Linked DNA regions of Arabidopsis thaliana. The gene in region 1 interacts genetically with each later gene. Each region holds a gene or a part of one and is shown in the gene's direction. Other genes may lie near its edges. The genes, in order: AT2G42940 and AGP6.

Region 1 (3,643 bases):
ATCAAAGCAATACAAAGGTTTAACAATTTCATTGGCTACACCGTATAGACCATGTAAATGTGTATCCACTGCTAAAGACTTTCATAATGAATACTAAACTTCCCCAATATATACAACTTTTTTCACAACTTAATCTAGATTCAAGGGAAGGGAAATACCTATCATCCCAGCGTGCAAGGCGGCATGCAAGATGTGCTATTAGTTCATGAACGGTTCTCGGAATGCAGGCTCCACCAGCAATAAGCATTTCCTGGTAAGACAGAAGGAACCCCAGAAGACTGAAAACCAGTTTTGACTAATTGATCAACGAGTAAAGGAAAACAATGATTCAAATAAGAAGAACAAACCTGGACTTCAGTAATACCTAAGACACTAATGTTCAAGGCAAAGCCTTTAACGTGCAATGCAGTCACCAGAAAATTCTGTGCTTGCCAAGACCTTAAGACAATAGGTATGTCATCTTCTTGGATGAAAGGATCACCCGCTGATTGTCCCAACAGCTCAAACAGCAACCCACCAGCAACTCTGACAGGCACCTATCCACCAACATATTAACAAATTTCAGCTATAGAATCATAGCACAGCTCACATTACAAAGAAGCAACATAACTCAGATTTTTGTTACCTCATAGAAAATATGTTTCATTCGTTCACTAATCAGTTTGCTTTCGTCCCGCAGAGCAAGACTGACCGCGGGATGTAACCAATGCGCATTACGTAACCACGAGGCAATACCATGATGGGTAGCATCAAGATGACACCACCAAGTTGGACCAGCAAGTGGTCGTTCCCAGTAAGGAGCAGCAAGCTCAGCAACAGTGGCTTCATCCTCATCTAAGTCAATCTTTCGCAAATCCCAATTATTATCAACTTGAACAGTCTGAACAAGCTCAGAGATCCTATCCCATCCAATTCCTCGCCAATAACTCCTAGAATGTTCTTCGTCTTCACCAGTACCAAATTGATCTGTTTCACATTCCTGTTTCTTTCTATCACAACAACAACAACACTGTTTAAAAAAACACTCTACAAGAAAAAGAAAAAAAGAGACTAAGCACTAATATGTATCAACAAGTTAGTAACAATCATCATACATTCTGAGAGACGAATCTCCATGGACACTTGTGTTATTCTTACGACGACCTTGACAAAACTCGAAAGCACAGATAAGTCCATTGGTCCAGAGATTATGGTAACCTGGATTCCCGTTCTTGTGATTCGCATTCATGCTTCACTTTAAATCACAGATTTTCGATTCATATCAGTCAAATCTCGTTTTCTGAGTAAAAAAAACAATCTCGAAATTTTAGGCTGCAATTTCACGTAAGATCATCAGGAAGCACGGAATTCGAAAGAAAACTAAGCCAAAGGAGTCAAACGCAACAACCTTCCCCAGAACTTCCCTGAATTTTCTGCACCGATTCGAAGAAAGAAAACAACAATTTGACTGAGAGAGAGAGATGAATGTGGCACAGGTCGAGGACGACAAGTCAAGGCTAAGAACCAACCACACGTGTACATTTACATATTTTGGGCCTTATTGGACCTTCTCTGTAGGACCAATTTAAAAGCCCAATAAGAGTCGAGTATGGAAGGCGATAAAATACAGAGCAGTGGACGACTCTCATTTTTTGTTGTTTCTCAACTCTCGATCAGTATTTGATTTTAGTTTTGGTCCCAAAAAGGGTATAAATTTGGTTGTAAATAGCTACAAGATGTTTAAGCATTATTATGAATCTCTCTGTTAAAGAAGACAATTGTCATGAATCAAATACTTAATCATCTGTTGAGAAGTAGGCTGCCAGAAACTTTTCTTTTTTTTCTTTTTTTGCAAAATAAATTTGTTAACTATTAATCACAATTTTTGGTGACAACTTAACCATCTCCTACTCCTCACAATCATTCTTTTGGTGTCTCTACCATTTAATAATTCACCAAAATCTCCTTACTTAAACTCACAAACTCCTCACAAATTTTCTGAATCTTTCAGTTGAACATATAACAACATTCATAACAATGGCTGGAGGTACAGCTCTAACTCCAACCTCTGTAGGATCCAAGTCTGTTCCAATGAGGAACCATGAAGCAACAGAGAGAGGCAACACCAACAACAACCTGAGAGCATTACCCAAAGCCGTCCAACCGGTTTCATCAATCGAAGGAGAGATGGCTAAGAGGCCACGTGGCAGACCCGCTGGCTCCAAGAACAAACCCAAACCACCAATCATTGTGACTCACGACAGTCCAAATTCCCTCAGAGCTAACGCCGTTGAGATCAGCTCAGGTTGTGACATCTGTGAGACTTTATCGGATTTTGCAAGAAGGAAACAGAGAGGTCTCTGCATTCTCAGTGCCAATGGTTGTGTCACCAATGTGACATTAAGGCAACCAGCTTCATCAGGAGCAATTGTCACATTACACGGACGTTACGAGATCCTCTCATTGCTTGGATCAATCTTGCCTCCACCAGCACCACTTGGAATAACTGGTCTGACCATTTACTTAGCCGGACCTCAAGGACAGGTTGTTGGTGGAGGAGTGGTTGGTGGGCTAATCGCATCTGGTCCTGTTGTTCTCATGGCTGCATCTTTCATGAATGCTGTTTTTGATCGTCTTCCTATGGATGATGATGAAGCTGCCTCTATGCAGAACCAGCAGTACTACCAGAATGGAAGATCCCGTCCTTTAGATGACATTCATGGACTGCCTCAAAATCTGCTCACTAATGGAAACTCGGCTTCTGATATCTACTCTTGGGGGCCTGCGCAGCGTGTCATGTCGAAACCTTAATACTACTGCTCTAATCTCCACGTTTCATCATATCAAATGCCTTAATCTTATTATCTCATTTACCTTGGAATCAAAGATAAATGTGTCTGTAGGTTGAGAGAGAACCGTAAGTCTGGTTAAGAAACTGAAGCTTATCTCCCTTTGTAGTTTGTACCTGCAACAGTAAAAAGAAAAAACTGAAAAAAGCAAAAGTAAATGATTATGAATTTTAAGCACAATCCTCTAATTTAATACGAAAATATTACAATATTTTTATCCTTGATCCAAAGTGAATGTTGGCCATTAATAGCAGAACATGTGAAGAATCATACAAACTGGTGATTTCTCTTTACCTGTGTGATACCAATTGCAGTTGCACCGTTCCAGCAATTATTTAGGAAACTGAGCTAGCAACCAACTTCTGATTTTACTCCACTCTCATCCCAGTTTCAACATGTTATATAATCTGTAAATCTCTAGAGGATTTTTGAGGGTTTCACTAACAAGATACAAACTCTTGACGTTTCAGATATCTGGGGATTAAGGAAATAAACGCGGTTTCTCATGTTTATGATTGGGTACTTTCATGAGCAATGCCAAAAACATTAGTACGTCTATCACCTTAAACATCATAGCCTATTTCCCTAAATCCCTATTTCATTATCTAACTACCTTGAATTAAAATCAGTACTTCTGTGGGTAGAATAACATGTTTGGTGATGCTGAAGCTAATCGTTATGTACTTATATCTAGCCAGTGAAGACGAAAATATGTGAAAGTTTTCTCCTTGCACCTCACGGAAAACTTAGTAGATAAATCACAAACACATTAAAACTGACATCGAATGATAAACTAACCTTCAAGCACAAACTTC
Region 2 (3,796 bases), on another chromosome or scaffold:
ATTTGTAGGTACGATTACTCCGGGTATGGACAATCTACTGGAAAGGTTTGTCATTTTGAGAATCGACAAGTAGAGATATCGATAATGATTTTACCCGATTCGAGTGAAAAACTAAATAACCGAACTTGTTTTCGTGTGACTGCAGCCAAGTGAGCACCATACATATGCTGATATCGAAGCTGCTTATAAATGTCTTGAGGAAACCTATGGAGCAAAACAGGAAGACATAATCCTTTATGGCCAATCCGTTGGAAGTGGACCTACATTAGATCTTGCTGCTCGGTTGCCTCAATTAAGAGCTGCTGTTCTCCATAGCCCGATTCTTTCTGGTCTAAGAGTAATGTATCCAGTGAAGAAGACATACTGGTTCGACATCTTCAAGGTATTAAATACATCATTCTTAGATGGATCATTTTCGATTTTCTTGCTTTCCTCTATCTTTTTCACAGTGTCCACTTTTAACAATATTTGCAGAATATCGACAAAATACCTCTTGTGAATTGCCCGGTTCTCGTCATTCACGTGAGTTCCATATTCATTTTACTCTCTTTTCCTTTTTTTCAGTTCGAAAACTGAGTGTATATAACTCTTTGTGGTTCTTCTCTTGTGGCAGGGAACTTGTGATGAAGTTGTTGACTGTTCTCATGGAAAACAACTATGGGAACTCTCTAAAGAGAAATATGAACCGCTTTGGCTCGAAGGCGGTAACCACTGTGATCTAGAACACTATCCTGAATACATTAAACACCTTAAGAAGTTCATCACAACCGTAGAGAGAGATCTCTCCTCGAGGGCGAGCACGGCCCAATTAGAGAAACAGAGCAGCGATTTGGAAATGCCGAGGCAGAGCGTAGATAGAAGAGAGAAGCCGAGGCAAAGCGTTGATAAAAGGGAGAAAGAGAAACCTCCAAAGGGTCCTTCAAAGAAGAGTAAGCTGAGAATCACGTTCGAGCAGCACTTAGATCGGACTAGGAGAAGCGTTGACTTCCACGAAAAGGCAAGGAAGAGCGTTGACCATCATCAGCATCATCAGAATCATCATCAGATTGAGAGAGGAAGGAAGAGTGTTGATAGATTGGATAGAGTACGGTCTGAGTAAACCGGAGAAAATCTACCACACGTACATAAGTTGTTACAGAACAAGAACATTTGATCTTGATCTTGATTGGCCATTCTAATGTTTATGGTTTTTTGTTTTGATTTGTGAGTTATTCTCTAGTTTTATTTGGGTGTGTCATTTCTTGAATGGTGAAGCTTAAATCTTAAGCAAACAAATGAGAGAAATTAGGTCTTTACAATAACCTGCTACGTAATTTATTTGACCCAACTTTTACTCGTAATATCATGCTTGGTTTATGACTCGAGTCTTGAAGAGTAGAAAAGGAAGAAAATTCGAACATTGCAAATAAAATAAAGAGGAATTAAAAACTGCACTGCACATCAAACGATGATGACAAAAAAATGATGCATATAACACAAACAAAAAGATAGAATTAAAGAGAAGTTGTCTGTTTTCTAGCTCTGTCAGAACATTAACAAATGTCTTCGAAACCGTAAGCCCCAGAAAACTTCACCATGCAGAAGTTTGTATGTTTTGGACCTTTGGTAATGACTTGTGTGTCAGTTGTGTCTTCATATTGGGGTTTTAATTTGGGCTTAGTTCGAAAGTACAGTAAACTCTTTAAGATTGCCCAAAATGTATTTTGAGACTCTAATTCTAATTTTCTGCAATACAATCAATGAATCAAACAAAAGTCAAAATCTCAGTCTCAGCTACTAATATTAGTATTCAAAAAAAAAAAAATTGTGTACGAATCCATAAATAGAAGAATTGGTTTCTAGTCCTGTTTAATTTTAAAGTACTTTCTAAAAGTAGATTATAAGATTCATCGTTTCTCTCATATCCATCAATTTCCCTAATTTTTCTCATCTTCAAAAACATATAAATTCACACCCCCATGTCTTATTCTTACATCCTAAAGCTTTTGCAGTATTTCTCCATAGAATAAGAAAAATAAAACAAAAATAAATAAATAAAAAATACTGCTTTAGCTTTTGGAGTATCCTCCTTTTAATCTCAATAAAAAAACTATTAAAACAGAAAAAAAAATGGCACGTCAATTTGTCGTTTTGGTTCTATTGACTTTAACTATCGCCACCGCTTTCGCCGCCGACGCTCCCTCAGCTTCTCCCAAAAAATCTCCATCACCCACTGCCGCACCAACCAAGGCTCCGACTGCCACAACCAAGGCTCCTTCAGCTCCAACCAAGGCTCCAGCCGCCGCACCTAAATCATCTTCGGCCTCTTCTCCAAAAGCATCTTCTCCGGCTGCCGAAGGACCCGTCCCCGAGGATGACTACTCTGCCTCTAGTCCTAGCGACTCTGCTGAGGCACCTACCGTCTCCTCCCCACCGGCTCCCACCCCCGACAGCACTTCCGCCGCTGATGGACCAAGCGATGGACCCACTGCAGAGTCACCCAAGAGTGGTGCCGTGACAACTGCTAAGTTCTCTGTTGTCGGCACAGTCGCCACCGTCGGCTTCTTCTTCTTTTCTTTCTAAGTTAAGTCGTCCACGTTTTGGTTGGATGGATCAGAGATTTGTATAATCTTTTGAGTTGAGGCCGTAAATTTATTTTATATATACGTTTATAAATCGAGATTAATTGGAGTAAATATAAACCTAAATGTCATTTTGAAATTTGGTTAGAACAAATTTTCATATTTTGTTTAATAAACTTATTTTTTTTGGAAATGCTTATGATTTGTGTGGTCTAATGGTCTTTTAGTTCCTATTGTCATGTGTTGTGAATTAGATATCATGAATGATATAAATGGATATTTCTACATTTTTATTTTAAAATTTTGTTGGCTAATACTAAATTGTGTACTATTTATAATATTCATGATAAAGGCTATTACACATTTTTAATCAAGTTAATAAATTTAGGATGCTTTAATGTACTAACCTCTTTTGGTGCCAAAGTCAGCCAATGTGTAAATACAAGCTTAGAAACATATTTAAATATTTCATAGAAAATATTTAAATTTTGGAAATATTTGTTTGTGTGTTTTTTGACTGATTATTAAAAAAAGTTATGTAAAAATTTAAATTAATAGATAAGTTGTACTCCATCCGTCTTAATTTAGTTGTCGTTCTAGCACTAAAATATTGTTTTGTAATAATTGTCTTTTTTTTTTTTAAATGTAAATGTTTGGTACAAATTTTAATTATATACTTATTATTTAAATATTTTAACTAATAAAAAATTAGAAAATATATTAAGTAGATAAAATTAAATAAATATTTTTTTATAATTGCTGTGCAAAAACTTTAGAGGATAATTATTTTAAAACAGAGAATATTATAAACTATTTCTATTATTATCTTGTTTCAAAAATAAAAATAAAAATTTCGTAGTTAAATTAAAACATCTTAGAGAGAATGTGAAATCAAATAAATCAGTATATTATCGTATGGCATTTTTACAATTAAAAAATAAAGCAAAAAATATTATAATAAAAAATATAAAAAGAACAAAAACGTTAAAATAATATAATTAATCTTTGAGCCGAAACAAAAAATAATTAGTCAATGGAGGTAGGACCCGTAAGAATTGCTCTTTTTCCCATTCGCTCTGATTGGTTCCTTCTCTCTCCCAAACCTTTTCTTTTTTTTTTTGTTTCCTCTTCAGCTTTTCTTTTTGGCCAACGTCAGGTTTCTTAAATGGGCTCATTCGTAACTCCAAATTTTGCGTAGGTTTTAAGTTTTACCTGTAAAATACTAGTCAAACCTA

Evidence for each region.
Region 2: of AT2G42940 (region 1) and AGP6, changing one enhances a phenotype caused by changing the other (phenotypic enhancement), as found in Arabidopsis thaliana (one study listed by BioGRID).

The regions. Positions count from the first base shown.
Region 1 is NC_003071.7:17,861,644-17,865,286, reverse strand, and holds AT2G42940 (Putative AT-hook DNA-binding family protein), read left to right. Parts: upstream 1-1,830; 5' UTR 1,831-2,016; coding exon 2,017-2,790; 3' UTR 2,791-3,033; downstream 3,034-3,643. Other genes in the region: AT2G42950 (Magnesium transporter CorA-like family protein), read right to left, coding at 159-250, 348-536, 626-989, 1,095-1,228. UniProt on the Arabidopsis thaliana protein: Transcription factor that specifically binds AT-rich DNA sequences related to the nuclear matrix attachment regions (MARs).
Region 2 is NC_003076.8:4,634,854-4,638,649, reverse strand, and holds AGP6 (arabinogalactan protein 6), read left to right. Parts: upstream 1-1,973; 5' UTR 1,974-2,109; coding exon 2,110-2,562; 3' UTR 2,563-3,006; downstream 3,007-3,796. Other genes in the region: AT5G14390 (alpha/beta-Hydrolases superfamily protein), read left to right, coding at 9-45, 146-382, 475-522, 614-1,099. UniProt on the Arabidopsis thaliana protein: Proteoglycan that seems to be implicated in diverse developmental roles such as differentiation, cell-cell recognition, embryogenesis and programmed cell death. Plays an important role during the formation of the nexine layer of the pollen wall.